3 linked regions of the Kluyveromyces lactis genome follow. The protein of the gene in region 1 purifies or fractionates together with the protein of each later gene. This does not show direct contact. Links are inferred from orthologs where the notes say so. Each region holds a gene or a part of one and is shown on either strand. Other genes may lie near its edges.

Region 1 (12,139 bases):
CGATAAGCGACATATCTTCACTCAATTCAAAAGGTCCAAGGACATCATCAGAGTGCTCATAAGTGACGGTGATGTTCATCTCTGATACGGTTGCCTAGTAATGGTAACTTTCAGTTTTAGTGTTTATTTTCCATTGAATAAAGTGATAATTGATAATTAAAGTTGATCTTGATTAATAAAGGAATCTTATATGTCAGAGAACCTTAAAACAACTTCTCGAAAGTAAAGAAAGAAAGAACGGACAAAAGTGTCGCCAAGGCTATATTGAAATGAAAAGGACAAGGGATGATATCCTCAAGGTGGATGTGGACCAAGAATATCTGGATCAGCACATTGATTCATTCCGTGATGGAATAGAACATATCTTAACTATTGACCCCACATTAAAAGAAATCATTGAGCATAGTCCTTTCACCATGTTTCTCAAGGAAAATGTGGCCAAGGATTCGATGGACCTTTATTTTAATAAATTGGCAGGTAGCATCATTTCACAGCAGATCAGTGGTGCAGCTGCGAAGAATATTCGAGGCAGGATCGTAGATATGTTTGATGGAACTTTTCCTAATTATCAGACACTGCACGAAACATTCCAAGACTCGAAGAAGAAACAAGCTTTTAAGGAATGTGGGTTATCTCAAAGGAAGCTGATGTATATTGAGTCCTTGGTTGGATATTTTTTCAATAACGAGGATTCTATAAAAGATCTCTTTGCCTTTGCAGACGATGATAAAATCATCGAAGAGCTAGTCGCAAATATCAAGGGTATCGGACCGTGGTCAGCGAAGATGTTTTTAGTTACAGGTTTACATCGCTTAAATGTATTTGCAGCTGAAGATTTGGGAATCGCAAGGGGATGTTCAAGGTACTTGGAACAACGACCAGAGATCTTAAAGAAGCTTCACAGCAAGCGGACTCTTATCAAGAAATCAAAAATAAAGCACAAGAGTTTCAAGTGGAAAATCCACGATGAAGACGTGGTTGAGCTCTGTGGTGATTTATTTAGCCCCCATAGAACGTTATTTATGTTCGTTCTTTGGAGAATGTCGGATACTAACATGGAAGTTGTCATCAATAATGAGAAAAGGTTTATGTCGAAGTAATAATTAGAGGCATTGTAATTGCTGTGTATAAACAGTACACTTTAAAGTAAGGTAGGAGTTCACTGGTAGCAACTTTTGAGTATATATATTTACAAGATAACATTTAATGTGCTGCCCAGTGTTTATAATAAATAGGAAGTAAAGGGGACAAACAAGAAAATAATTGAAAAAAAAGGATCCATTCGTAGTTCCCAAGATCACTTCGCAAGTTTGGAAGCCTCAGTTAAGATTTTAGAAGAGGCCTTTTGCTGTTGTGTATAGAGTCCACCGGTGAGGATTCTAATTGCGGCTCTTGGTTTTCTCAATTGAGAAGCAAACAACAATGAACCTGTCAATAATGCCAAGGCACCAGCTTGGTGAGCAGAAGCTAGAGGGATTGGAACCAAATATAACAAGGTAAAAATACCTAGAGTGACTTGTAAAGTGGCAAGACCCATCATACCATGAGCAGTACGTAGAACTTGTTTAGGAATGATAGCCTTGTTTCTGTTACAGTACATGTGGAATGCAAACACAGCGAAGAAAGTGGTTGTAGCCAAAATCCTATGATTCAGTTGAACCGTAGTTGGGTTTTCCAACATATTTCTCCAAAACATATCACTCTTGTCTTCTTTTCTAGCAAAGTTTTCGTCGATTAATTCACGTTTACTTGGTACCCAATCATCACCCATGTGAGGGAAAGTATTGTAGATTAGACCAGCATCCAGACCAGCAACCAAACCCCCAGACATCGCAGTAACAAAGGTCAAAGCTAGTAGACCAAGTGCAGATCTTCTCAATGGAGCTAGTGCTGGGTTATCTAGTTTTGAGAATAAAACAAGAGCTTCGGATGGGTTTTTAACCCATTTGGCCTCTCTCAAGATCTCAAACCCGGTCCAGAGCATACCCATATATAACATGAAAGCGGTACCCAAATGTGTAGTCAATCTGTACTGTGAGACAGTCGGTTTGGACTTTCTTTCCTTCAATTGTGTTTCATCCAAACCAGACTTGACCATCCACCAACCGATAAAACCTTGTAAACCTAGTAGTGCTGATAAACCAAACAATCTTTTATTAACATGAGGTGATGTCTTCCTAGCGACAGCAAAGTAGACAGCAGGCAGAATGAATACAGCACCGATAGCACGGCCCCATAGTCTATGAATCCATTCCATAAAGAAAATGAACTTGAATTCATCCAAGGTAATATGAGAGTTCAACTGTTTAAATTCTGGAGAACTTTTATACTTGGTGAATTCATTTTCCCATTCCTGCTGGTTCAAGGGTGGTAAAGTACCAGCGACAGGTCTCCATTCTGTAATAGATAACCCAGATTCAGTAAGTCTGGTTAACCCCCCGAGAACGACAATACCAAACACAAGAATTGAAGTACCAACTAACCAGTACCCTACCACTTTTGATGAATTTAGCAAGGGTTTTGACTTAGCTTGTTTAGCCGTGGATGCCGTAGCTGTTGTTATACCATTACCAGTAGTTTGCGATACCTGTACAGCTTCCCTGACAATAGATCTGGTATGGAAATACGCCATTGAAACTGTTGGCAAAGCTCTCTTAAGAGCAACAGTGGGAATCACATTCTTTGTCTTTACCAAATTTGATATTGAACGGGTCATTAAACCACGGGAACTTATGCGAATACCGCTGAGGCCTCTGCCTCCAAGAACCAAAGTTCTGAACATAGTGATAACTAGGTTGTCAGCTTCAAAAGATCGAATCTGGCCTCTGTGGTTCAATACTTACTTCTGTTAATGTTACTAGTGAAAGGCTTCATCGTTCCATTTTTTTTTTTTTTTATATTGAGCCTGATCATTCCATAACGTGAAGGGAACTATATAAAAGCGTCAGCAGAAAGAAGCCCGATAAAACGTACTATTGAATAACGAGTTGACATGTCGTTATATTTGGCCAGTTTGTCGATGTTGTTAATATCTATAAATTCTCTATACTTATTTGAAGGCCGCATGGGGAATTCGTGTACGTTTTGTCTGTATATCCAAATAATCGTTGTTTAAGTAGAATGGTAGTACCTGGGGTTCATTCGGCGGTGGATTCGTATCAAATTCGTCTGTGTTTAGTTTACAGTAGTGTATATATTTACATGGGACTAAATAAGATAAATGACATTGGGTTTGATTTATTTAGTTTCCTTGTTGCGTTTTTCATCAATCTTCTTGAAGTCTTCTGACCAAACGGTGTTACCCTTGTTAGTGTCTACGTCTCCGAATAGTCTTTGGAAAACATCTTCGTACCAGTCTGCGGCCAAAGGTTCCAATCCTTCCTTCACATTCTCTGGAAGCTCAGCCCAGTCTGACAAATTGTCTTTGGGGAAAATGATAGTCTTGGCACCAGATCTCTTGGCTGCTACGGCCTTTTCTCTTAACCCACCGATCCTCAAAACTTTACCAGTCAAAGTCAATTCACCGGTCATAGCCACTGTTGGGTCAAGACCCTTATTCAAAGCCAGTGATAAGAATGAAGAGGCCATTGTCACACCTGCAGATGGACCATCCTTTGGTGTAGCACCTTCAGGGCAATGCAAATGGATCTTTGCAACTTCAAAGAATCTATTTTCTGGGAACTTCTTGGCCAAGTACATCTTTGAGAAAGAGTATGCTAGTCTAGAGGATTCCTTCATTACATCTCCAAGTTGGCCGGTACGTTCTAAAGTAGGTTGAGTTGAATGTGTCAAAGGCTGTTCTAAAACACTCTCTACGTACATTGCACATCCACCCATGCTAGTCCATGCAAGACCCATCACAACACCAGGAGGAGTAGATTCGTATAATCTATCAGTAGTGAAGATTGGTGGACCTACGTAATCCTTTAGGTTGTTTTCGTCTACAGTCACAGAAACAGTTTCCGGTACTTCTAAGGAACCCTTGTTATCGTGAGATTTTTGGGTCTTGATCAGTTCATTTTCTTCAGTAGTGGATTCTACGGTCGATGCTTCAGCACTAGATTTGTTTTCGGATTGCTTGACCTTTATATCCTTTTGATCCTTCACTTCTTCATTTTCCATAGGTTTATCGTCTATGCTCAATTGTTTAACGACGTTCAACGCAGCCTTACGGTAGATTTTCTCAATGTGCTTTTTCAATGATCTAACACCACTTTCTCTGCAGTAATGCTTCATCAAAGAAACAATAGCATTCTCGGTAATGTTGACGTTAGCATTATCTAAACCAGCAGATTTCTTTGCACTTGGCGATAGATAATTTTCTGCGATCTTAACCTTTTCTTCAGCAACATAACCAGTTAGTTCAATGACTTCCATACGGTCCAACAATGGTCTTGGGATAGTTTCTAAAGAATTAGCGGTGCAAACGAATAAAACTTTAGACAAATCGATTGGAATATCCATATAGTTGTCCAAGAAACTATTGTTTTGTTCTGGGTCTAATAATTCTAATAGCGCTGCGGCGGGGTCCCCATGGATACCGCCGTGCCCAATCTTATCAATTTCGTCAATCAAAATCAACGGGTTTTGAGTTTGACATTTCTTTAAAGCTTGGATGACTCTACCTGGCAAAGCACCAATATAGGTTCTTCTGTGACCTTTGATTTCAGCCACATCAGTCATACCACCTACTGAGAATCTGAAAAATTGTCTGTTCAAAGAGCGAGCAATGGACTTACCAATGGATGTCTTACCCACACCAGGTGGTCCAACAAAACAGATGATCTTACCATCAACCTTCCCGAGAAGCTTACCAACGGCGATGAACTCAAGAATACGATCTTTGACGTCCTTCATACCATAGTGATCTTCATCTAAGATTTTTTTCGCCTTTGGTATACTGTACTGTTCTTTAGATATAATACCCCAAGGTAGGGAAGTGATCCAATCCAAGTAGTTTCTAATCACACCAAATTCAGATTGTGAAGTTTCGAGAGTCGCTAATTTAGTGATTTCGTCATCAAATACTTTTTGAACTGTTTCCGGTAATTGTAGCTTAGATACACGATCTTTGAAAGATTCAATTAATTTATCACGACCATCATCTATACCCAACTCTCTCTTGATTCCTTTCAATTGTTCCATTAGATAATACTCTCTCTGCCTCTTTTGAATCTTAGTTTCAACGTCTTTAGAGATTTTATTTTGTAGTTCAGCATTCATCAACTCTTTCTTTAACACTGTCAATGCCTTTTCAAGACGTTGCTCAATGTCCAAGGATTCAAGGATTTCTTGTAATTCCTCTTCTTCGCCAGCAGAAACGGCAGCGGCAAAATCAGCCAATCTTGCTGGCTCTTCGAAAATATTTGTGGTGGCAGATTGAATTGATGCTGAAAAAGTTGCAATCTGTTCTCTGAACATGGTATTCAATTGAGAAATCTCTTTAAACACTTTCAAAATTTCAGAGGTCAACGCATTGATGACGGGGGAATTCGGATTAAATTCTTTGTCAGCCAAATTGGATACATTGACCAATGAAACATCATAATCTTTCAAGAACCCGGTCAAATTCTCATCGTCATCTTCTTCAACATCCTTCATATTTTCCATCTTTTGTAAAGAGGCCTTAACTACCTCTTGTTCATTATTTTCGACACCTTCGCTCTTGGATACATCTGATTCATCCTTCAGGTTTTGTTCAGAAGTTGGTGGGATCAATTCATCCAATTTGATTCTTCTGTGTGGGTATAATAGAGCGGTCATCGTTTCAGCACCAGTCTTTTCGTCTTTACTTGGGAATGCGCTTGTAACTTGGGCGAAGACACCGACATTGTAAACTTCATCAGCTTTATGAATCACATCGGTATCAACAGTAGAATCCTTCAACAAAAATGCACCAATGTATGGTTGTTGACGATCTGACATATCTTTAATCGCTTTCATGACTCTTTCATCTGAAATTACAACTGCTTTGTAAAAACCAGGGAATAATGGACGGCGAGATATTGGTAATGCCATCACTTGGGGATAAACTTCGGGGAACGGTTGTTTAGCGTTCTTGGAAGGTTTTCCATTACCACTTCCATTGTTACCATCATCACCGCTTCCATTACCTGATGATTCTCCGTTACCCGATGCTCCTCCAGAAGTGCTAGCTGGGCCCTGAGTCTCTGCAACAGAATCCCGTTGCTGAGATGTTTCCGATTCCTTTGCAGTATCGTTGTCCTTTTCTTCAGTAGGGACTTGTTCCTCTTCTTTCTTCCTGTTTTCAGATTCTGGCTGATCTATATCCTTGCCCTTATCATCCTGCTTCAACTGTATGCTTTTTACCCATTGGGATTCCAACTGTTCAAGTCTCTGTCTTGAAACAGGGTCGTTCATCTGTTTCCGATATTGCATCCAGTGATAAGACTCATCCACAAACTTCTGAGAATCCGAAGCTAACTTTTCGTTACCAACTATGCCATTATGCTGGAACCTCGTTGCATTCATCAACCTGACGTTGTTACCATTCTTGAATTGACGCAAAAGGATGTTCCTGGTCACAAGGCGGGATCTACTACTTCTTAACATTGTGATCTCCTTTGCACTTGAAATAAACTGAGGGAAAAAAAGCTAGTCACCCGGTATCAGAAGCTGTTCGACTAGGTGTGTAGTAAACTGTATCTCAATTTTGTGACTATCCGTTAGAAGCTGCTCTATTGAAACTAAAAGTCACAGTTAAAAAACACCTTCGAAACCAAATAAATAATCACTTCCGTATCTGATTTCAGTTGATCAAAAATCCTGGGTATTAGATCAAAACTAGATTGGAATATACCTCCTAATGTATCTATTGTGCTACTACTATGAAAGGCCTTTTTCCCTCTTAAAATGTTACCGGAATCCAAGTGTTCCTTAGTTGTATAAATTGGTATTTATCTTACAAATATTATAAATACCGGTGGCGCAAATATCACCGGAAAATGACATTTTAGCACTAATACGGAAAATATAATCTGTCAAGACGGACCTATCGTACCACTTGCTTGCCAATTGGCATTAAATTGTACGTTAAGATCCCTCCTTGGTATGTGATTGAGCCGTGGTCGTTAAATATTTAAGTACATCCATACATATCTATATATATATATATATATATAGATGCGTTTTGTTATAGTGAGAAAGAGGTAATGTTACAAGTGATCCGCAGTAGAATGGCGCGATCCCAGTGGCTGTTGGACGACAATCCGTGGTTGAGCTTGTGCTGGATTATGAGTGCTTTTTGAAGACGACTGTACATGTTCTGATGCCGATACCTCTGTGCTTGTCGTCGTGGAAGCTGAAGAAGGCACAGGATGAAGAGGTTGCTGCCTTTCCTGTGTCACGTGATCTGCGTCTTCTGCCCTTGATTCTTCTTCTGTGTATGAACCTTCCACATCCTCCTTAGGGTACATCATCTGATTCTTTATTGCCTGTTGTTGTCTGTATTTTGCTAGGTAAATCTTGAGCACTTCGGCATAGTTCTCGAATCCCAATGCATGTAGCGATAGAAGAATATCTTCACCGTTAATAGTCTTACGCTTCCCACTGGTACATCTATCACAGGCCTCGCTAGTGACAAACGATATGAATTCGCTTACGCACTCTTGCATACATTCCTTCGCATCTTTAGATACCTTTGTGGTCGCTGGCAACGTGTTTTTCATTAGTCTTGCGACGTTGTTAATCGGAAGCCATCGATCTTGCTCCGCTAGTTCGTTAAGATAGTTATTATGCCTCTCTTGCTTCTCAGCTTCTGTCTCTGTATCCATATTTAGTAGGTGTCGCTAGCTCTGATCTTCATAACAGACCAAATCAGTGAAAGACCTTAAACACTTAGTATTTTTATTATGTAGTTAATAGTCATGAATGGGTATTTTAAGGTTTGTTGATGATTTTGAATTTGCTGAACGTCAAAGATCGAGATTTTTCAATGTATACATTGGCAAAGAAAGACACTAATAAGATCCAATAAACGGCCAGTGCTCATCGATAGGATTGGTTTATACTGCTGTAGGTGCTAGTGCTCAGCATTGTTCTTTAAGAAGGGTGCAAAGTTACTTCATATCATTTGGTAAGAATGAATGTCAAGAATGAGCATATGAACAAATTCGCCAATGGAGTCTTATTTCTAATGTTGGGACAAACGTTGAGTAAAGGGGTTAATTTCTTGTTGAACACTTTGCTAGTGCGTTATTTATCCCCCCGAATTTTTGGTATTACCTCTTTCCTAGAGTTTTTACTTTCTACAGTACTATTCTTCAGTAGAGAATCGATTCGGATCTCCACCTTACGGATCAAATCTACAACAGATAGCGGCAAATTGGAAAAAGTAGAGGATGGTGAGGATACGAGAACTTTGCAATCCCTGATTAATTTTGGTTATATACCGTTTGTGATTGGGTTACCATTGTCTATTATCCTAATTTCATGGCAATACTCTAATCTAAATTCGTACTTCATTGACCTTCCATACTTCAAAGCCTCCATATTCCTTATATGGCTTAGTATATTGATTGAGTTGGTCAGTGAACCGTTCTACTTGGTACATCAATATTTACTCAATCACTTTATCAGATCCAAATATGAGAGTTTAGGTGTCACCTTTGCATGTGTTGCGAACTTTATTATAGTTGTCTGGTTTGAGAAAATGGTGAACGGAGTTGGGCTAGAGTTGCATGATGATTACAAACAAGAAGGGATCGCTATTTTTGCATTTGCAGTTGGTAAGCTCGTTCACGCGATGACTTTACTTGCATGTTACTCCTACAATTATTACTCAGAGGTCTATACTACTGGAGAGCGTTATAGCTACAAGTTGACAAAAATCAGGCCTGAAACAAGACAAGAGTCATACTATTTCCAAAATGATACCGTTCAGCACTTCAAAAAAGTGTATTTCCAGCTATGCTTCAAGCATTTGTTAACAGAAGGTGATAAGCTAATCATAAATTCGTTGTGCACGGTGGAAGAGCAAGGTATATACTCTCTTCTTTCAAATTACGGCTCTTTGATAACAAGACTATTGTTTGCTCCGATTGAGGAGGCATTACGCTTGTTTTTAGCGCGCTTGTTAAGCGTATCGTCGAAGAAGAACTTATGGTTATCTATGAAGGTCTTGATTGACCTAACCAAGTTTTATCTGTACTTATCACTCTTCATTATAATATTCGGACCAATCAATTCGTCATACTTATTGAAATTTGTCATTGGATCTAAGTGGTCAAGTACCTCATTTTTAGAAACAATAAGAACTTACTGCTTCTATATTCCATTCCTTTCCTTGAATGGTATCTTCGAGGCGTTTTTCCAAAGTGTTGCCTCCGGTGATCAGATTTTCAAACATTCATACGTCATGATGCTCTTCTCAGGCATTTTCTTGTTCAACTGTTGGTTATTCATAGAATATTTTGACCTATCACTAGAAGGGCTCATTGTCAGTAACATTTTGAACATGGCTTTGAGAATAGCATACTGTGGTAACTTTATTCATAAATTTTACCATTACCTACTAAAAGAATCGTCAACTGAAACTACTCAATCAATCTTGCCAAACATTTCCACCTTCAAGAACGTTGCTCTCATCGCAGCCATAATCGGTGCCCTAGATTGGTATTTCATAGGCTATGTGGAAAATATGCGGGAACTACTTATTAACGTCATTTTGGCATTATTGTTACTTATTTTGGTGATTTACAAAGAAAAGAGCTTAATATCAGAACTGCTAGCTGCAAAAACCTATGCGGCATAATTAGTAACTAGTTAGTTTCCTTTTTAACGACATATCTCAAATTCAGTTAGTTCATGATTTATATACAGGTCTCATTTTTACATATAATCTTCATCTTACGGTCGATGTGCATTATTTGTAAGATGCTTGCTATTAAGATCCAATAATTCAATTAGATAACAAGAACTGCAGCACAGATGCTTAATAGAAAAAGAGAGTGAGCCATATCTATATACGTGCAACTGCTCTATATAGAAGATTACCAGAGAGTTATGTGCCTGAACCATTGATTATGGATGAAGTGAAAGATAAAACTGGAGTACGGTTCGTAACTTTCAATGTGAATGGAGTAAGAACTCTTTTCCAACATTATCCTTTTAGTAGGATGAACAATTCATTGAAACTAGCATTCGAGTTGTTTCAAGCAGATATAGTGACACTACAGGAATTGAAGATAGATGCTAAAAGTATATCTAAATGGGGTAAAGTGGAAGGTTACCAATCATATATTACTATATCTCAAAAGAGGAAAGGGTACAGTGGGGTTGGATGCTGGATTCGTACACCATCAGAAGATGATCCATTAAGACATCACTTAAAGGTCATTAAGGCAGAGGAAGGAATTACGGGGCTTCTCCGAGTGCAAGCTAATGGCATATCCTATCGTGAGAGTTCAGAAGGGATTGGTGGATATACTGGTTTGGATTTTGCTGATGAAAACGACCTTCTTGATATTGACAGCGAGGGAAGATGTATCATCATCGAATTGGCTTGTAATGTTGTTATCTTTTCAACATACTGCCCTGCTAACTCGTCACAAACCGAAGAAGGAGAATTGTCTCGGCTGACGTTTTTAAAGCTACTCTTCAAGCGGATAAGAAATTTGCACGGGTTAGGGAAGCATGTCGTGCTAATGGGGGACATAAATGTTTGCAGAGATTTGAAAGATCATGCTACGGCACTAGATGAATCATCTATTTCTTTATCTCAACAGAAGACGGGCTCTGAAATTGAAGAAAAGTTTAATGAGAAATGCGTTCAGTTCATCATGGACCCATCTCGCATTGGAAGAAGGTTGCTTAATACAATGCTATGCGATTCCATAATTTCAAAATATGCACAAGAGGGTATTTTAGTAGATTCTACGCGAAAGATACAGGGTAGGGACAGACTAAAAATGTATACAGTCTGGAATACGTTGTTAAATACTCGGCCGGTCAATTACGGTTCTCGTGTTGATTATATCTTTGTCAGCAAAGGATTAAAGGATAATATTACGGACGGTGATATTTTGACCACTATTATGGGATCAGATCACTGTCCAGTTTTTGCTGATATCAAGGTAGATAACCTCGAACTTAAACATGAAAGCTTCAATAAGCCAAAATTTGAGGCTGCCACGAGATATTTCTTGAACCATGGGAACATTTTAGATATGTTCCGCAAGGCCAATCGCAAAAGCACCAGTCCTTCCACGACAAGCACGGGCAAAGTAGTAAAACCACTGAATGTCAAGCAATATAACGGCATGAATGCTCTGGCCTCAGCAACAGTTTCCAAAGATCAAAACAAAAATGTATCGATACAGCCTCAGTCGCGCGTCAAGAGTGCACATATGAAGGCTTTCGAGGAAATGCTTGGAAAAGCACCAGTTTGTGAACATGGTGAAGAAGCTGTTCTTCGAGTCTCTAAGACTGACAAAAGCTTTGGTAAAAAGTTTTGGGTGTGCAATCGATCAAAAGGCGAAAAAGATGATCCAGAAGCATCTTGTGGCTTCTTTCAATGGAAGTAATCGTTCTTCCGTGTTCCACCATTCTGGGTTATTATTATTTTATGCATCAATATTTATGATTTAGTTTATAATCTTTCTTTTTCTTTGGATTCAGCTTCTATCTCGGCTTCGGATTCTACCAATTTCTTGAACCATATTCTATCATCCTCATGAACGGTCAATCCGGACAGGTTATTGCTTTGTTCGAGCACATTTATTATTAGTGAGGTACCGACCAACTCATCGCTCGCTATGTAAGTGCTTATGGCAGTAGTAAAAATATCAGTATCATTGACGCTTACCTTTGCAATAGTATCCAAATTATCCACGTATAATAATTCGTACTCAATTGCTTCGCCAAATACACCGTGAGATCTTTTCAAAGCTGTATTCAACATTTGAAGCCAAGTTACTTTATCCACTTGGATCTCATTGTCTTTTTCCGAATCATGCGACGTTACCTTTAGTTTAAAATAAAACCATTCTGGTTTGAACTTAGCCATGTTTGTTCCTTGATCCTTTTCGAAAAGATGAGAGATTAGACAAACTCTGAACACATACTACCGGAATCGAGCCGACATCAATATTCGCTTCTCTTGTATTGTTAGTTATTCTTA
Region 2 (10,396 bases), on another chromosome or scaffold:
TTGCTAACAGTTTGGATAACGCTGCTTCAACTTGGATTTGGACCGTCCACGAACTTCGTGACCGTGGCCATGAAATATGATTCTCATTCCAAAAAATATAGTTATACAAAACTATGATAATCTTAATATATACTTAGATAGACCCTGTACTAATTATTACAATAAACACCTTATCTGCATTCAAAACTTCAGCGGACATAAAGCGCTCCTGTGCATATCTTTTAATCGTCGCCTGTTTTATGTCAGGTGAAAGAAAACAATACACGTGACTGAAAATCACCTGTGCATGAGTCAATATTTAGAGGAAGCTTGGAACTCTTCCAAAGGAAAGAAAGAAAAAATTTGTGAGAAAATATGAAAATGAAATATATAATTCGGAAAGATGCATCTCATCATTGATACATCAGTTATTGTTGATGTTGAAGAGGTTGTAGTAAGAAGTGGTTGTTGCTACGAGACAGATAAACCCAGGAAACATGTCTGCTGCTACAGAGACTAAAGGTCTTGTGTTAGAAAACACAGCCCGTAGAGATGCTTTAATCGCTATCGAGAAGAAATACCAAAAGATTTGGGCTGAGGAACATCAGTTCGAGATCGACGCTCCTACTTTGGATGAAGAAAATGTTTCTGTCGATCCTGAAGAATTGCAAAAGAAGTATCCAAAATTCATGTCTTCATTTGCATACCCATATATGAACGGTGTCTTACACGCTGGTCACTGTTTCACCTTATCCAAGGTTGAATTCTCTATTGGTTTCGAAAGAATGAACGGTAAGAGGGCCCTTTTCCCAATCGGTTTCCACTGTACTGGTATGCCAATCCTTGCTTGTGCTGACAAGTTGAAAAGAGAAGCTGAACTGTTTGGCAATGACTATTCCAATGTTCCAGCTGAAGATGCGGAAGAAGAACAAGAAGCCAAACCAGCTGCACAATCCGACGATGTTACCAAGTTCAAGGCTAAGAAGTCAAAGGCCGCTGCTAAGCAAGGTCGTGGTAAATATCAATTCGAAATCATGTTGCAGTTAGGAATTGCCAGAGAAGATGTCATCAAATTTGCCGATGCCAGCTATTGGTTAACTTACTTCCCACCTCTAACTGAAACCGATTGTACATCGTTCGGTGCCCGTATTGATTGGAGAAGATCTTTCATCACTACCGACCTGAATCCATATTACGATCAATTTATTAAATGGCAAATGAAGAAACTAAAAGATCTTGGAAAAATCAAGTTCGGTGAACGTTACACCATCTATTCGGAAAAGGATGGCCAACCATGTATGGATCACGATAGACAATCCGGTGAAGCAGTTACTCCGCAAGAATATCTAGGTATCAAGATCGAAGTAACTGAATTTGCTGAGGAGGCTAAGAAGATTGTTGCTGAATCCACTTTGGACCATTCCAAGAAGATTTACTTCGTTGCTGCTACCTTGAGGCCAGAAACCATGTACGGTCAAACTTGTTGTTTCGTCTCTCCAACCATTAACTACGGTATTTTCGACGCTGGCGATTGTTATTACATCACCACTGAGCGTGCCTTTAAGAACATGTCTTATCAAAAGCTTACACCAGAGAGAGGTAACTACAAACCTGTAGTATCCGTTTTGGGTAAACATTTCGTCGGTTCTAAGATTCATGCTCCATTGACACCATACCCAGAATTAAGAATCTTACCGATGGACACTGTCATTGCCACCAAGGGTACCGGTGTTGTTACTTGTGTTCCAACCAACTCTCCAGATGATTACATGACTACACAAGATCTGAAACATAAACCAGAATATTATGGTATCGACCCTGAATGGATCAACCATGAATTGGTTCCTGTTATTCACACCGATAGATACGGTGATTTAACCGCCAAGTCTTTGTGCGAGGAGCTAAAAATAAAGTCTCCAAAAGATACCAACCAGTTAGCAGAAGCCAAGAAATTAGCATACAAAGAAGATTTCTATTCTGGTGTTATGATCTATGGTAAGTACAAGGGTGAAAAGGTCGAAACTGCCAAGGCCAAGGTTAAGAGCGATATGATTGCCAACAACGAAGCCTTTGTCTATAACGAACCAGAATCTGTTGTCATTTCTCGTTCTGGTGACGAATGTATCGTTTCTCTGGAAGATCAATGGTATGTCGACTACGGTGAAGAAGAATGGAAGAAACAAGCTATTGAATGTTTGGAAGGTATGGAACTCTTTGCTCCTGAAGTTAAGAATGCCTTCGAAAGTGTCTTAGATTGGTTGAGAAACTGGGCTGTTTCTCGTAGTTACGGTCTAGGTACCAGATTACCATGGGATCCAAAGTATTTGGTTGAATCTTTGTCTGACTCTACTATCTACCAATCCTTCTATACCATTGCGCATTTATTATTCAAAGATTACTACGGTAACGAAATTGGTCCATTGGGAATCAAAGCAGAACAAATGACAGATGAAGTGTTTGACTATGTCTTCCAACACGTCGATGAAGTGAAAAACACTGATATCCCATTAGAATCTTTGCAAAAATTGAGAAGAGAGTTCGAATACTTCTACCCATTGGATGTTTCCATTTCTGGTAAGGATTTGATTCCAAACCACTTGACCTTCTTTATCTACACTCACGTTGCATTGTTCCCAAGAAAGTTCTGGCCAAAGGGTATCAGAGTCAACGGTCATTTGATGTTGAACAATGCTAAGATGTCCAAGTCTACAGGTAACTTCATGACTTTGCACGACATGGTGACGAAATTCGGTGCCGATGCTTCCCGTATTGCTCTTGCTGATGCAGGTGACACTGTTGAAGATGCCAACTTGGATGAATCTAATGCTAATGCTGCTATTCTAAGACTCTATAACTTGAAAGAATGGGCCGAAGAAATGGTCAAGGACATTGGGAATTTGCGTACCGACTCAGAGTATGGATTCTTTGACATCGCGTTCGAAAATGAAATGAATTCATTGATCGAACAAACTTACAAGCAATACGCTGCCACCAATTATAAAAGTGCTATGAAGTACGGTTTGTTCGATTATCAAGCTGCTAGAGATTACTATCGTGAGGCATCTGATGTCATGCACCGTGATCTAGTGCTACGTTACATTGAAACACAAGTATTGTTGCTAGCACCAGTAGCACCACATTTCGCTGACTACATTTACCGTGAAGTCTTAAAGAAAGAAGGTTCCGTACAGAACGCTAAGTTCCCAACTGTCAACAAACCTGTCGACATCGGTATCTCTGTATCTCTAGAATACGTTAGAGATCTACAAAGATCTATCAGAGAAGCAGAGGGCCAAGCTTTGAAAAAGAAGAAGGGTAAGGGTTCTGACGTTGATGCTTCAAAGCCAGCTAAGTTGACCTTGTACATTATTGAGACTTTCCCAGAATGGCAAACTAAGTACATCGATTTGGTGCGTGAATTATTCGAAAACCAAACTTTGGACGACAACAAGGTTGTCAAGACTAAGGTCGATCCAAAGGACATGAAGCGTGCTATGCCATTCATCTCCTTACTAAAACAAAGATTAACCACTGAATCACCAGAATCTGTCTTCACAAGAGACTTACTATTCAACGAAATCGAAACTGTAAAGTCTACATTCGATATTTTGAAGAAGTCTTCTCAATCAATCAAGATTTCCGAATACGAAATTCTCTCGTTACCATACGGCTCAGAAACCGCCAAGAACGTATTTACTAATGAAGAAGTTACGATTCAAAAGAGCAAAGCCATTGAAAACGCTATTCCAGGTGAACCAGCTATCTTGATCAAGAACGTCGAATAGAGATAGATAAAAATAAATTAACAATAACAAAATAATTAATCACACAAACAACATTTAGAAGATGACCCCATAGGCATCTGTTATATAGAAAGATAGAAACGGTACCGATGTCAAACAACCTGTAATGTGAATTTTCTCTGTAACCGTTTTGTATATTCTGTTTTCAACCAAATTTAATTGCTTACTCAGTTAGAAATTCCAACCCACGCCAAAATCGGAGTTAAATGCTTCTTCATCTGTGTCTTTTCTCGGAGTTTTGAACAGATATACCATGTAAGAGAAGAAAAAAACCTTGTTACCCGCGCTGAAATACCCCGGAATTAATTCGTTTTCAGTTTTCCATTGGAGAGAGAGCCAAATAGAGCACAGGTTTTCGTCGCTCGAGTCCCGGTCTTCGCGGTGTCTCGGATAAACTAAGGGCTTTTGTGTGTTGTATTAGAGCCCCAATTCCGTCAGTTGTTTCGAATATTATTCGCTGAAGATAAGACAAGGTGACAAATCTCTGGAAAAGCCTCTGGAACGAAACGAGAAGCTGGGAATTTGTACGAATCGTTTATGCTGTGTTTGCTGTTCAGTTTTCCAATATGATGTAATTTTTGGCGTGGGAGAAATGCGACAAAACTTCAGAGATGTTTTCTTTTGAGTCAGTCGATTTCTATGGACTTTCACAGTAGTGGCATATATACGTTTCTGTTGGCAACTCCGCTATTTTGAAGGAAGTTATAGGTCGACGCATGGGAACTACCTGATGCATATGTCATATATATATATATATATATATGTGTGTGTATCTGATGCAGTTTCGAAAATACCGGGCCACCACATATTTTTATCCAGGTTTCTGTAGAATAGAGGATTTGGTTCGATTATCTTGTCATTGAGGCAGCAAGTGGTAGGGAAAGCTTGATCTCTCAATGGGCTGGCACGATTCTGTATCACTACAACTTGTAAAAGAGGATTGCGATAAAGTGTTTGCAGAATATTTTAACGATGCAGAACAGTTCATAGTGTATAGTCGGCAGCAGGATTTTGATCTCGATACATGTATGGAACTATGTGATACAATAGAGACGTTGAACGGTTCAACATTGGAAACCAGGAACGATATGCTTAGTGCACAATTCGATTTTAGAACGAAATTGGAGAATTATGAAGCACTCCCGTCCTTCGAAACTGTTGAAAAGATAATACACCATAGCTATAGCGGCAACAGTTGTAGCGAAGCTAAAAACTCAAAGAAATCTTCAAAGATTAATGACGTTTAAGAATTGGGAAAGGGAACATACAAAGTGGAAATGCTGGTCGGATCGTTTCATTGCTGAAAGATGTCATAATTTTTTGACTCCTGTAAAAGATTCCATACATATTTTAGTTTCCAGAAGTAAAAGGCGAAATTATTTGTGTTTGTTAAATCGTATGCATTAGATATATATACTATATATGAATCGTGAAATACAGGGAAGAAAAATTGGAAATATTATAGTGTTAACTTAGAAAGTAGTCCTTCAGGGGTATGGTGAGTCCCTGGAATGATTTTAACGAAAAGAGGGAGAGAGAGAGATTCTAATAATTGTTTATCGTTAGCCCAAATAAAAAGAATCTCGAGAAAATGTCAAGAATCAACTTGGCATTCCAAAGATTTCAATTCTCATTCTTTCTCGAATTTGCGTTTCAGATCCAATAACCTGATTATGGGCTTCTTTCTTCCTCGCTTACGATTTATTAATTTGTCTTGTTCATTCAGTAATATTTGCTTTTGTAACTTTTCCTTGGCTTCTTTATTTTTTGCATTGTTTGTTTCTTCAATACTTGGTGGATGGAACGGTTTCAAATCTTTGATAATCTCTGATGGTACATTATCCCATTCGCTGAAAAATTCTTGTCCCGTGGCACTTGATACCCAGGGTACAGGTTCACTAAGCTTTTCTAATTTCATGGCAAACTGCATCAATTTGTTCTCCTTTGCGTTCTTATCCCCAACAACGATGGGTCTATAACCAGAATATAACATATCCGAGTTGAACTCTTCTCTTAATATATGTTCGGTGGTTGGTACTCTTGGTAACCATGAATAATCTCTAGATAACTTCTTCGTGGCCATTTTTATGATCTTCTCCTCTGAATCCTTACCTAATTCCGCAGAAGGAGAAGAAGAGGCAGATGCCGAACTTTCTTGCTTACCTTCAAGCTTCATCGAATCCACAAGATCGCCGTCCTCCTTACGTTTTGATCGTTTACTCTTGAGCTTCGATTGCTTCAAGTTCTGCTTTTGTAACATCTGATTATTTTGGAAGTTGACAGAACTCTGGTTCCTTACACCATTTATAAGTGATACCGCAGATATGCGATTTTTCACGTATATAGAGCGTGAACCGAGACGTACATTGCTGAACATCATTGTAATTATATGTGCCTCGATATAGAAGTATCCTTCTATCTTTCACTGAGGGAAAACCAACAAGGAGTAAACAGATTCCAGATTTTCCAATAAACAACTCGTAGCAACACCTAAAAAAACAGCTCGCTTCAAAAGTCTCTAACCCTTTGACAGTGGTGATCGATCTAGTAAAACTAATAGCAACCTTGACGTAGATGTTAATGTTCTGCTATCAGCACGTTATTTGTTGTATATCGCTGTTGTATTCTCGTGAGGATAAACCTCTCGTTAAATGGGTTGATTATTAAAAGTGAAAATCAGGTATCTTTATTTTCAAATTTCTTTTCAGTTTCCGGAACCTGTAGATGTGTGTCATAGGTAACGATTATATTACATAATTTTTGTCCAAAATACTAATAAACAAGTGACTTTAGGCTATATGTTTGTAGCCGTGGCAACGCTTAATTACCCATAGAGCATCTGATTCCAACGTGTAGCGATTTCTTTTACCAACGATTGCTCGCATGTCAATTGTGTGTTTTTTTTTTTTCTATCTAGAATTGTCTTCATCTGACCTTACGTATTTTATCTTATAATGGGTTTTTGAAGAAAGAAAAGTAAACCTTAATGCTATCGGTCTTTAACATTATGGTAGTTATTCATGGATTAATGTAATAGAAAGAAGGTACATTAGAAAAGAGGATCAATAACAGTGTTTGAGTGTTAGAGAGCTTTTCAGCTACTAATGGTATTGGGAGAATTATATTCGTTATTACCGTGGGTTCAAACTGTACAGCAGTTCTTACCTGATGAGCTGTTACAATTTAACAGCGAACCAGGCAAAACTGCAAAAAGTGTCAGCATTAAATCATTAATTGACAAATATGCACCGGAGTTCCAACATAATAGCAAGTGTGTGATTCCACCTTTTCTTTGCAGTGGTCATATGCAGACGATTTTTGCTTCGATGTTCACTTTCGAATCGAAACATTTGGTTTATTATAAGAGATATATTCTCAATTATCCAGACGGCGGTGAAGGTGCACTAGATGTGTGTGTTCCCCAATCGTTATGGAAAGAGACTGGTTACGTTCCCAAAAATCAGAGAAATCAACTGCTTCCGAGGTATACCTATTTTGATGCTGATGAAAAGTTCGGATCGTCTGATACAAAGCCGATGCTCATTATATTACATGGGTTGACAGGTGGTTCTAACGAAAGTTATGTCAGATCTTTAGTTGACACCATCACGAACGAGTACAATTTTGAAGCCTGCGTCTTAAATAGCCGTGGGTGCTGCCAATCAAGCATTACGACACCATTTTTGTATTGTGGGCTATGGACTGATGATGTAAGGTTTTGCGTGAAGGAATTGAGGAACAAGTTTCCTAATAGAAAATTCTTTTTATGTGGGGTCTCTTTAGGGGCAAGTATGACGGCCAATTATCTGGGACAAGAATCCGATCAATCAGACGTAGAATTAGGTGTTGTGTTGGGAAATCCATGGGATTTAACGGCATCATCTTATCATTTGGAAAGAAACTTGATAGGGAAATACGCCTACACTCCAGCGTTAGCGAAAAATTTAGTTAAACTAACGACATCTCATCTTGATGTTTTGAAGCAAAATCCTGAAATGGCGCGTATGTACGCCGACCACCTACATGAAGTGAAAACAGTGGAAGAATTCGATAACTTTTTTACGGCTAGAATGTTTGGATTCAATACGTCTTTTGAATATTACAGGCACGGTACGAGTTCGAACAGATTAAACAAGTTGAGAACTCCATTACTGATTCTGAATGCCTTAGATGATCCTATTGTTGGATGTGAAGCGCTACCATATCGTGAAGTCCAAAGTAATCCGTACACCTTAATGTTAACAACTACAAGGGGAGGTCACATTGGATGGTTTGACATGAACTTGGACAGGTGGTACGTGAAACCGTTGTGCAGATTGCTTCATAAATTTTATACAGACATTTCAATGCAAGGTCTCGCACCCGATCTTAAATCTGTTGACCTGCCTAAAGAGAATAAATTCAAAAATGATAGAATCATCAGATAAAGTTAATTAAACAACCCTGTCTATATCTGACTCTATCTGTTGAGAACTAGAAATGCGATAAATATGAACAACAAACGTGGTTATCTTAATATGAATATATAGGAATCAATGATGTTGTAATGCTAATGAGGGGAGGTGGAAGAAGGGAGTTATGTCCAGGAAAAATATGTCAATAATAAATGGGCTCTCTCCTAATGCTAATGTATTGAAATGAGATATCAGATGCTGATACCTACAGGTAATGTTAGATTTCTCCGAACACCGGCTTTCACAGAGGTTTGGAAATTAGCTAATGACGAAAAGCTTTCGCGTAAACTCTGTGGAACAACTGCTGGTGTACTTCTCGAGGAATCAGTTAGAGTGTCGAACTCATGAGGGGAGTCACATTCTGACATGGAGTCATTTTCTGTTTGTGCGTCGTTATTCGAAAAGATAGCATCGCTTTCATAGTCTGTGACAATGGCGTCAAGCAATTCTTTGTAAGTATGGTGATCTTGTGAAGCTTGGAACTTCGCGACTTGCAATCTCATCAAAATTCTTTGTGAGATAACTGCACGAAGGTAAGAATCCCAAGCCTTATTTGCATTCAGAATTTTGACAGATTCACTCAATGATTCCATTGAGGCAGACGAACTCATAGCGTCTTCGAAGACAGAATCACCATCATGTAAGGATGATGTAATAGATCCCATCTCTGACTTTAGTGGTTGCATCTTTTGTGTATCGATAATATATTCATCTTCGTCTTCTTCGTCTTCGTCTTCTTCTCTAATACAATAATCGTCATGATCGAATTGAGAAAGTGGTATCACCTTATTTTTAACAACGATGGAAGGTTGTCTTACCGCTAAGTTTAAATTTAGAGAAGGTTGAGACCTAACTAAACGGGTTGAATCAGTTCTTCCGACGGAAGAATTACTTCTAGAAAAAATAAGTGAATTACTGCTCGTAAGGATCGATGCTGCACGCTTAATAGAGGATGGAGTTCTCCTCAATGAACGATGGTTGATGTTGGAGGAATGCTTGACAATCGGGGTATTCTTTATATCCAATCCAGATGGAACGGTTGGAGAGGATGTATCAGAGTAAGAAGCCATTGATCTCATCGATTGTGACCTCTTAATATTTGCGAAATACCCGTTTGAACGAAGTAAATGTGATGTTGTCCTCTTATCAGACTTTGCGAAATGACGTTGTTTGTACGTAAAGAGTTTGCGTTTTAGAGCCAGGTGGAACTTCTTAAGGTTTAATCTTACACGTTTACCGAGCTTAGTGAAATAGTGTAAGAGTCCACCTTTGCATCTTATCGCATTTGATCTTTTTATATTCGACCTTCTTGACACAGTCGAAGTTGATCTTTTGACTGATGATTTCCGTTTCTCACTTAAGTTCGTGGCGTTTCGCGTTTTCGTAGACGGCGTACTACGCTTCTTTAGCATTGCAGTGGAGTTACCAGATGACAGTGTGAACTGGAAAGAAATATTGTCGGCAGTCGGCAAAGTGAAATCAGAGGTAACCGTAGAATATGCTTCTGGTATGCATTGCATATCAAAGTTACCATCCAATGGCCTGCCAAATTCAGGTGAGTTTGTGGGACATATTCTAGGTGTTCTGTCCGGTGCCAGTGTTCCAGGATAATGCACTGAAGAACCGGAAGATGATATATATGAGTACCTGTTGTTTCCAATTGCACAAGCTGTGTTCTTGACAGCAGACAACTTGTCAGGATTAGTCGTATTATCAGATATGTTAGCAAATGAGTAGTATCCATTAGATGAGTTACCGGAGTTGGAATTTGTCGTGGTATAGTCAGATAAATGCTGGGAGTGAATATCGTCTTCTGGCTTCTTATTCAATTGCTCGTTTAGTAGATGATGGTTGTTTAAACCATGTTCTGGCAATTTAAGATGAGCCAAAACTTCAACATCTGGGAACCTAAATTCTGATTGAGATCCATTATAGGACTTGGTTTTGGTTCTTGTGGGAGTTCTGATCATTTATTCGGTAATTCAGTATTTACCAGCTAGAGTATTCGATGATAACAGTATTGCACGTAATTTTGAGTAACGCTTTTAAGATATTTTACGAAGCTTGCACCAGGAAAGGTTACGCAAGTGGCTCATGATGACAAAAAAGACTCATACAATCGTGGAATCGCTTTCCCCATTCAGCTTATTCAAGTTCTTC
Region 3 (9,607 bases), on another chromosome or scaffold:
TTTGCCCAAAAGTTGCAACACTTCTCAACTCCATTTTCAAACTCATCAGTTAGCGTTAGAATTATGGGCACATTGTTGTTCAGAATGCAGGTGTAGAAGTCCGAAATTGTCTCTTTCAAAGGAGCTTGGGTGGCAATATAACGTACAGACTTGATGTCAGCGGTAGAGCTTTGCTGAAGTTGGGCAAAAGGATTAACCAAATAGTTAGCATTAATATAGGTATTCCAAACATCCTCTTGTTCATCTTGAGTTGGCAAGCCACTAGCACAGGAACTATATGCGGAAGATCTCGGGGAAGGGGTTGAATTCTCACAGCCAGCACTGCATATACTAGAATGCGAGAGCTTTACTCTTGTGTGCTCATAAGGAAATATATCCTTATATCTATTCTTCGTCCCAAATTCTACCCCAGATGATATTGTGATGCTTTGTAAGTTCTCTTCAGCATCATCCTCATCAACATCATAATGACCATCTTCGACACATCTGTCGTTACCAGCTACAGTAGACCGAGATTGAGTGCTGACAATTGAAGCGGACGATGAGGGGCCCAATAATCTCTGAAGTCTTTTTCTTTCTAATAACTCCAATCTTTGGAACTTAGATATAAAGTGCAGTTTTGGAATGTCCATTAATTGGCAGAACCAGGAAGGAACTACCTGATTGATCTCCTCTGAAGCAAATCTGTGGTATAGGTTATCATATTTAACTTGGAAATTTAGTTTAGATGAATTGTGGCCACTAGAAGGATCTGCTGGCGATAATGCTGTTTGAGTTGAAGTAAATGATGACGAAGTCGCATCGGTACTGAACTGTTTGGACGGTGAAGCAGGAAATTTGAAGGATCTTAGGTCATTTTCTGATTCTAAGAAAGAATTTCTTTGAGAGCGTTCATTGATCTCTACGGCCTTCACATAATTATCTAGATCGGAAATGTCATGCTCAATCTGCGGTAACTTAAAAGTTGGTAAATGTTGATTATTTATCGGTGCCGGCAGTTTAAATCCAAACAAAGATGATAATGGTGATGATGTGGATATTGGGGAACCAGATAGAGTCCTACTGTTACCGGTTTGTGGTGGCTGTTTCAAAGGAGAACAAGAATGCGAATGAGATCTACCAGAGTGTTTCAACTGCGGTTGAACTGGAGAAATATTGTCTGCCTGATGAGGGGAAGATGGGGAATCTAAGGTATAAGAGTCTTCCAAATCCATGGTACCAACTTCGACGTCATCAGGATATGCTGCATTAAATGATTCAAAACCTTCTGCGAGAATGAAAACAGAAGGCTTTTGTTTGTCACTTACATGATCGAGGATCTTAGAAGATATTCCGAAACATGCCAATGATACTGCATAATCTGTCTGGTTTGCCACATTATCGTAAATAACCACCTTGGCATTTGCAGTGGCGCTGTCACTGCCCAATAAATATTCCGATAAAGTTTCCCTTCCTGGGGAAGGTAGATTACCTATCAACCTTTCCAGATTGAAGTTTTTCCTTTTCAGTAAAGTCGAGGGAAGACACAAGTGCATTGCCGATCTGATGTGATTTTTGTTGAACTCTATGAACGGCCTTGTATCGAATATTATCAGTTTTTCATTGGGATTCTGGTCCATATTTTCAATATAATGGTGCAAGTCCGCAGGGCTAATAAACGAGCAGTCTTTATGTTTAGGAAATCGGAGATCTTTTGGACATATTGTTGGAATAGCGGGCAAGCTATTGGACTTCATTGCTATGCTCCGCGATCTACTCCGTGAAAACGAAAGGGAACTTCTATGAGATGCTGACAACGGTGAAGGTGTACATGTACTATACGAAGGTTCAGATGCTGAAGGGAAAGTCGACGCATGTATCAGAATCTTTTCGGGCAGTACCTCCGTTGAATTTCTTTTGTAATTTGCGCTCAGGGCAGGAGATGCTAACGATGAATTCGACGATTTATCATCGATCAAAGTGGATGACGAACTTAGAACTGATGAACTTTCCGATGTGAATGAGCTGCTCTGAATTGAATCACGATCTTTATACTCTGTACATCCAGATATCGATGGTGGTCTAGCGAGAGGCCTTGAAAACGAAAGAGGTTCTTTGAGTTGGATTTCTTCCTGTTGTTTGTTGGTGCCCATCGTGTCTATATACTCCATTTCTCTTCGAAATTATAAATAGATTAGATTTGACACCCTATTACTAACAAAGTACTTTCTTTCTGTATGCTTAATTTGACAGTTTTGTCTTGGTATAGGTTCTTATTTGGTGTCTTCGTTAAAGCAGTGATTCGAACAAAGTTAAAAGATAGCTGAAGATGTTGGAAGCTGTTCTATTTGGTTCAATAATGCACTAGACCTAGAAATTACGAATTAGAAAACACTTGACCGAAAAGAAAAGAAATTCTAAAAAAGATATTGAGAAGAGGATTGCATAAGGATACACAGATGCATGCATTCGAGAAACATATCCAATGGAAAAAAAAACAACAACAACAACAATTAGCACGCACATCCACGTGATATACGGTCGAATTACATAAATGCATATGTGATATAGTAATGCCCACTTCGTTGGTTGAACCAGACACCTTGCTACTTAATTAGATTACTTTTCATCTGTAGGAAATTACCTGAAAAGACACCTTATGTAGGCAGAAAGGTACTGAAAACAAAGGACTCAGAAAAATATGCGATAAATCTTCTAAACTATTTACACCCTCATGCCGATTGCAATTTTACCAAGCAATACTCATCTCTTGTTGAATAAGAACCGCAAATTGTCAAGACATGTTACAAGGATATCACGGATGAAGAAGCAGTTTCTATGGTTAATTACGACACTCTGTTGCTTTGTGAAATGTATGAACAAAAAAAAAGACACAAATCTAGAAATCAACAGTAGAGCCGAAAGAACGGTATAATAAGGACCGAAAAATATGCTAATAGTCAAAAGATCTAGATCCCCTGGGTACTAGTCTGAGAGTATGTTCTTGGACTTGTACTCTTCAACTTGTGAAAAGTAGTTTAATAGAAGAATTGCAGATGGCTGCATAACACACCACAGCAAAATCCTGGGAATAAATTTCAATCATGAGCATAATCATAGATGGGGCTCTTTTGCGCAGTAAATTACGTCGTTACAATTATTTGCAACTGGCTTTTTTTTCTTTCTTAGAACTGACAATGAATGTTGTCCTCCGTGCTCTTGCAAAAACGAACACGAATTTTCTCGGGAAAACCAAGGCGTTGATCATTGTTCCGGTTCGAGACTACGGTCGAAACGGACATTACCTCTCTGCCCTAAACACACTCTGATCAGTAAACGTTCATTTGTCAAATAGTAATGCGAGAGTTACCATGGGACTAAGGCTCGAAAAATTTCGTACTTTTGATCCAGAATGTTAGCACGGAAAGCAGTGACCAAAACGGTTCGAAAGTTCGCTTCCCTCACAAAAGAAAAGAATTTTCAATAGAAATGGACTCGGGTCTCGAACATCTTTCTGCAAGCTGAAACGAAGAAATTAACGTAGTGAAATAACTCGGAAACTAAAGGCTACCACTACTCACAAAACGAAAAGCGAAAATTACGTACGCCTAGAAGTCAACGCACTGTATCTGTACCAGGGTCCGCCCTTAGAACTGTTCGAGCAATTTGTACCCGGATGGCGTCTTTACCTCTTTTATTGGCTTGTTTACACTTTACTCATTCACGTGACGCTGAACGTGCGGGTAAATATGAAAAGGGCATCCACCTCATTACCCTGATATACTTTCTTTTTGCCACACTCTAGGATCGAGAGCTGAAAGGAAAAAGAATTCTGGAAAGATTATAAGCTCTTATATTGAACTGTGATATTTCAAGCGATGAGCTAGCTTATTTGATCCAAATTTAAGGGTTAAAACAAACCAGTCCTATAGGATAAGCCCCCTCCCCTGATAGAATACTATGTCCCTACGTTTGATTACCCGTGTTGCCTCCCGTGTTGCTGCTCGTCCAGCTTCCATCCAGGTGGCCAGAAATGTGATTGCTCGTCCAACCTTTATCACATCTTCCCGTCAACTCTCCTATACTGCTACCACTTTCAACCAACATACTACGAAGGTTGCTCAAGTTTTAAACAGCGAAGTCGAATTAGAAACTTCTCAACAAATTGTCGACTTGCCAGAAGAATTGGCTACTTTCCTGTCCAAGTACGGTTTTGAGCCTGTCGTTCAAGAAGGCCGTAACTTGGCTCACATTAGAAGACAATTGAACGATGAAACTATCAATGTCTTCTTTGACGTTGCTCAAGTTGCTAACTTGCCTGTCGAACCAGCTGCTTTAGAACAATCTGAAGAACAATTGGAGGAAGATTTCGATAGTATGTCTGATAACTTTGCCAATGTCAACATTGTCGTTGTGAAGAACTCCGACAACACAGCAATTTCATTTGAGCTTTTGATGAACATGCAAGAAGGTTCTTTCTACGTCGATTCCGTTACCCCATACGAATCAGCAGAAGATGCTTTGAATGAATCAGCAGAAGCCGAAATCAAGAGAGAATTGGGATACCACGGTCCTCCATTCTCTAACTTGGATGAATCTTTGCAAGAGTCCTTGGAATCTTACTTGGAATCCAGAGGTATCACCACCGATTTAACTTCATTCATTTCTAATTACTCTGAGTTCAAGGAGAATAATGAATACATTCAATGGTTGTCGAAAATGAAGAAGTTCTTCGAGTAATTGCAACAATAACTCTTTTTCAATATGACTAAAGACAGAAGTATTTGTTCATTCAAAAACAATTCTGCCTCTTGGTGGTTTTACTTCACTACTGATCACTGAGCTTTATGATCCCTCTATCAACATTTCTCTTGTATATACATAATTTTTCTCTTACCTTTTTTATTATGGATTTTTAAGGCAAATTTGTACATTATATATCGCTCTATGTAATATCTGTTATAATGTACCTATCGTCTTTTCCATTGGTACCTTTGATTATTACACCGTTTGCAATAGTTTAATTATTGAAATGCAGAGCCAGCAAAAGACAAGCCTCCAAGTGAGATGCCTTTTTCATTGGTTTAGTATGTACAGGAGGCATCTCAATTATGTTGGTGAAAAGTCATCAATGTTGGTGTCCAATATTGTTTCACAATATTGTCTAAACAATTTTTCGATTTCGGGGCTGTTAGAATCCCTATCATGTTCTAGGTTATCCACAACCTCTAGGATTCTCTTTCTTAATCTTATTAGATGCCTACGAAACAAAAATTTTCTTTTAAGTAAAGAATTTGAATCTTCCGCTTCAGCTTGCACTTCCTTTAGTTCTTCATCGGTTAAATTCAAAGATGATTCCAATGATTTTATAAAACGTACAGCTTCAAGATAAACAAAACGCATACTCTCTCGAGTGCTTCCTCTCTGCTTCAACAACATTACTGGATCACAGAGCATTGTGGTAATGAACTCGTCTATTATCGTTTTCTTGAAAGTCAAAGGTAACGCGTCTTTGCATGACATAACAATTCTCAATAAGAACATCCATGGTTTCCAGGATAAATAGCTCTTGTACTCATCATTTTGAATCGAAGTCTTTGCTTCATTGTCCTTCATAAGTGCAAGACATGATTTTACAAGTTCTGTCGCCTTTACAGGATCACTGTTGTTTAGCTTTTTAGTAGCCTGTCTTTCAAATGCTTTATAAGTTAAAACGACGTGCTGTAAGGGTTCCCGCAACATACCATCATCCATCATCTTACGAAGTAGCTCATAACATCTCTCTCCACAGTTCTCCGGATCTGCTTTGATAATTAAGTTCAACGCAGCGTTTATTGTTCTGTTGTTGAAAAGGTTTGGTCTTTTTCCCAGGTAATGCTCGAAGAAAGCGATACCATATTCGTATTGTCCGGTCTTAAAGCAATTTTCCATTAAAAGATGTGCAACATGGGGAGTCAAACGCATTTTAGATTTGATATTCCAATTCTTCAAAGCAGGCAACTTGACAAATTCTGGTATTTCTTTCTTGAAACGAACATTTGGGACCTTAAAATCATAGAATATATCAAGCAGAGGCAACACACAATTGGAAAATCGTAGATCCCTTCTAGAGTGCCAAACGTTCAAATAATGAAAAAACATTTGTGAATCGATAACTTTGGGGTCAGCAGAGTTCATTATATCATCAGCCCTTTGAATGGCTTCCACTGCATCTGTAATCTTCGCACATCCAATAAGTAGTTGCGTGTACGCAATTGCATCTTTTTTTATACCTTTGGGTCTCAAATCAAAACATTTGAACAGGTAACTAGGGTCGTTAGAGTTCGCCAACGCACTTAATGCAGCGTTAAAATTTATATTATTGAGTCTTTCATCTTCAACCAATTTTAAAACTATCTTCACCACTCGTTCTGCAACTTTGACAGAAATTGGTTCTGGCAACCTTGCCAACCCTTTGAACAAATTTGTTTCAGTGTATTCATTGGGAGGTATTTGCCACTTCTTTCTCCAAGAATATAAATCCACAGCGGAATGGCTATCTTTTTCAACTTCTAGATAATGTGTCATTAATGTGTTCATTCCAGCTGCACCATTTGGTCCAGCAAGCTTTATAAGAAATAAAGCCTTTTGCAACTGGCCTCTCTTACAAAATTTCGCAACATCGCGTTCCACCAATATTGAATTTTTTAGTTGAGGTCTAGATATACCTAGTATAGTATACATTAATCTTTTATCGTTAGCGACAGAAAGAATGCTCGTATCATCGTCCGAAGTTGGTCCTACTTTGATAGACTTATCAAGATTAGTAATTTTGTGTCTCCCTTTTAAGATTTCATTCGCTTTCTTAATGGAATATCCGTACTTCCGAGCTTTGCGTGCTTCCCTTCGAGCGATATCCCTCTGCTTTCCATTTTCCTTCTCTGTTCGCTTCACAAGTGTCTGTGTCTTCTGCAGAAGGTCCAACTTAACCTTCAACGGTGAGCCGTAAGGTACCCGCGTAGCATGAAATGCCCTAACAAAGCGCTGCGCACATGGCACATGTATAACTGTTCGACCTATCGACATACAGATTCTGATGCTTGCTGACTGACTATCCTGTCTAAACTGCTCTTGAGGTGTCTGCGATGAGGTTGTACTCAAAGATTCGACCGTGATTAATATTTTTCCTACTACAGAATCATATTGGAAAAATTGACATAATATGCAAAACAGCCATATCTGAACGAGAACAAGAAACAGTGTAAGCTGCATCACACGAGACATAATTAAAAAGACCAACAAGGTGAGTAGTACTAGAATAACATCAAAGCCTCTGAAAAAGAGTTAGCATTGTTTGCGATTGCATTTTTTACATGTTTTGGGGCTGTTTTTGATAGAATATTGCATTATATATGACACAAGGTAGGCTATTTTATCCGTTGGCAGTGCTTCAAGATCGTCATTTCAGATCCAAATATCCAAATTACAATGAAAGTAGAGAGCTCAAAACCTGGAGTGTTGTTTCAAAGCGATTTCCTGCCTGGGAACAAAAACTAGTATCTATGCTACTTGATAATAAATACGCTGAATCCATAATATTTATCAATAGTGATGTTTCTATGAGCTCAGTGGGTGTTTTCAAACGGACCAAACTCCTGATTAGAACTCATATTCTAAATTCTCATTATAAAGCAGTGATTGATTTTGAATCTAGGCTCAATACCCAACCCATTACTTCTGAGCCAACGGAATTAGCGGATTTCATCGAGTGCAAGTTATTATTGATTTTAAATTGGTTCCTAAGGGGGGAATATCATCAGTGTTTACAAAGGTTCATTCAACTAATCATCGACATACCAAACTTGGTGGAGCTAATGGTAACTCTTCCAAAAGATGATATCTTTATATCGAATGAAACAATGTTTTACATCATCACTGTATCTGCATTAGTGTCAATTCCCCTAGATAATTTGGACACATTCATTCATTTAGAAGAACTAGAACAGTTTCATAAACACTTTGATGTTCTTGCTGGCAAGGGCAAACTTATAATTAATAGTAAGTTCATGAAGTTTTTCGACTGGTGGCACAATGATATGGAGCGGCTTTGCAAGCAAGATTATTTCTTAGAAAAAAAGTGGGATATAATATCTAAGACTATGAGACAAAAGATGTACGCATTTTATTTGAGGATAGCAACTAAAATACAAATTAGTTACCTATCCGAAAGAGTCGGAATATCTCGAGAAATTGTCACTCAAGAAATCACACAACTAATCTCGGAAGCCTGTTTGAATTTCCAGATTCATGATGATCTCATTTTATACCAGAAATTTGACCCTCAGATGGCTCTAAACGATTTGATGATGACTGAAGATATCACATTGGATAATAAGCTCTCCCAATTACGTCGTCAAAACCATAATTTGAGAGTAATCGTCGATGAACATTTAGCTTTAAGGAAAAGCAGAATACAGCGGCGAAGCAAGGCGAGTGACGAAGAACCTATGAATGAAGAAGAAGTTTTCGCTCTGAGCGAAAACGAGCTCTGTAATGAGACTGCTGATACTTTCAATGATTAAGAGAGTACGTAGTTTTGTTCTATTTACATGATAAATGCTAGTGAAATTACATAACTTTTAAATATTTTCGAACCGTTAGAAATCAAGAGGACGAGGTATGTCGTGATCTATTTTGGTAGAAACACCATGCTGAACAATGTTTTCGATGTCAATTACTTCTTTAGCTGCTTCAACCGTCAAGTTAGTGTATGAATTCAGGCCAATGGCAATATCATCTTCGATACGAATTCCAATATTCCTGAAATATTCGGGGTATTTTGGATCATTAGGGATGTAGAGACCAGGTTCGATAGTGATCACTTGACCCTCTTGCAAAGGTTGATGCCTGGATATTTCTGGTACGTCGTGCACATCTAAACCCAAATTATGACCTATGTAGTGCGGGTAGATTTCATTGATATCCCAGTTGCTCAAACTACTCAAACCAATGTTTTTCAGTTCTTGCTTGAAGAATTGTAAACTCTTTTCGTGAATCTGATGCAATGAAATAACATTATGGGCAGCACACAATTCAATACATTTCTTTTGAACCGCTAGGACAACTTCGTATAAATCTTTTTGGGCATCTGTAAATTTACCAGATACTGGCCATGTTCTTGAGATATCAGAACAGTATCCACCTATGGCACCTGCTGCATCTACAAGCACCATTTCATCGTCGAACATAACATCGTCATTTCTAGTATAATGAATGCATAATGCGTTGTCCCCAGTTCCGATTACTGGAATATACGCTGAACGATCACAACCACCTTCGATAAACTTGTATTCTAGGAAGGATCCCAACGTTCTTTCATTTCTGAACCTTCGAGCGTACGCTTGATTGTAAGCTCTCCCGGAAATTTGGCCGGCTCTCCTCATGATACGCAATTCTGCGGGAGATTTTGTACTTCTAAGCTCAGCTACAATTCCTTTGAGAGGTCTCAACTGTCTCGAAGGGGTCGTATTTTTGATTAAGTTCAATATCGTAAGCTCTTTTTGATTATTATCATTCATAGAGAAGAAACTGCTGAAGAAAGCTGTCGAATTCTTTGCATCCTTAGTATGATCAAAGTAGACATAATCAC

What was found.
Region 2: the proteins of PIM1 (region 1) and PET20 purify together in Saccharomyces cerevisiae (affinity purification with mass spectrometry; 5 studies listed by BioGRID). This does not show direct contact. The link is inferred for Kluyveromyces lactis from reciprocal best matches to the Saccharomyces cerevisiae genes PIM1 and PET20.
Region 3: the proteins of PIM1 (region 1) and MAM33 purify together in Saccharomyces cerevisiae (affinity purification with mass spectrometry; 4 studies listed by BioGRID, with this or other methods). This does not show direct contact. The link is inferred for Kluyveromyces lactis from reciprocal best matches to the Saccharomyces cerevisiae genes PIM1 and MAM33.

What each region holds. Positions count from the first base shown.
Region 1 is NC_006041.1:912,314-924,452, forward strand, and holds PIM1 (ATP-dependent Lon protease PIM1), read right to left. Parts: upstream 6,574-12,139; coding exon 3,238-6,573; downstream 1-3,237. Other genes in the region: DDI1 (Ddi1p), read right to left, coding at 1-79; MAG1 (DNA-3-methyladenine glycosylase II), read left to right, coding at 270-1,100; COX15 (Cox15p), read right to left, coding at 1,298-2,782; HAP3 (Hap3p), read right to left, coding at 7,176-7,793; RFT1 (glycolipid translocation protein), read left to right, coding at 8,102-9,772; DNA-(apurinic or apyrimidinic site) lyase APN2, read left to right, coding at 10,044-11,543; POP8 (ribonuclease P), read right to left, coding at 11,609-12,025. UniProt on the Saccharomyces cerevisiae protein: ATP-dependent serine protease that mediates the selective degradation of misfolded, unassembled or oxidatively damaged polypeptides as well as certain short-lived regulatory proteins in the mitochondrial matrix.
Region 2 is NC_006040.1:515,848-526,243, reverse strand, and holds PET20 (Pet20p), read right to left. Parts: upstream 6,163-10,396; coding exon 5,413-6,162; downstream 1-5,412. Other genes in the region: ENV9 (Env9p), read left to right, coding at 1-80; leucine--tRNA ligase CDC60, read left to right, coding at 477-3,764; KLLA0_D06083g (uncharacterized protein), read left to right, coding at 4,679-5,029; MGL2 (putative carboxylic ester hydrolase), read left to right, coding at 6,887-8,209; AIM44 (Aim44p), read right to left, coding at 8,428-10,206. UniProt on the Saccharomyces cerevisiae protein: Required for respiratory growth, stability of the mitochondrial genome and for proper assembly or maintenance of mitochondrial proteins.
Region 3 is NC_006039.1:669,258-678,864, reverse strand, and holds MAM33 (Mam33p), read left to right. Parts: upstream 1-3,939; coding exon 3,940-4,719; downstream 4,720-9,607. Other genes in the region: tyrosine protein phosphatase PTP3, read right to left, coding at 1-2,150; MRX1 (Mrx1p), read right to left, coding at 5,089-7,242; PCI8 (Pci8p), read left to right, coding at 7,371-8,540; ICP55 (aminopeptidase), read right to left, coding at 8,616-9,607. UniProt on the Saccharomyces cerevisiae protein: Not known. Binds to the sorting sequence of cytochrome b2.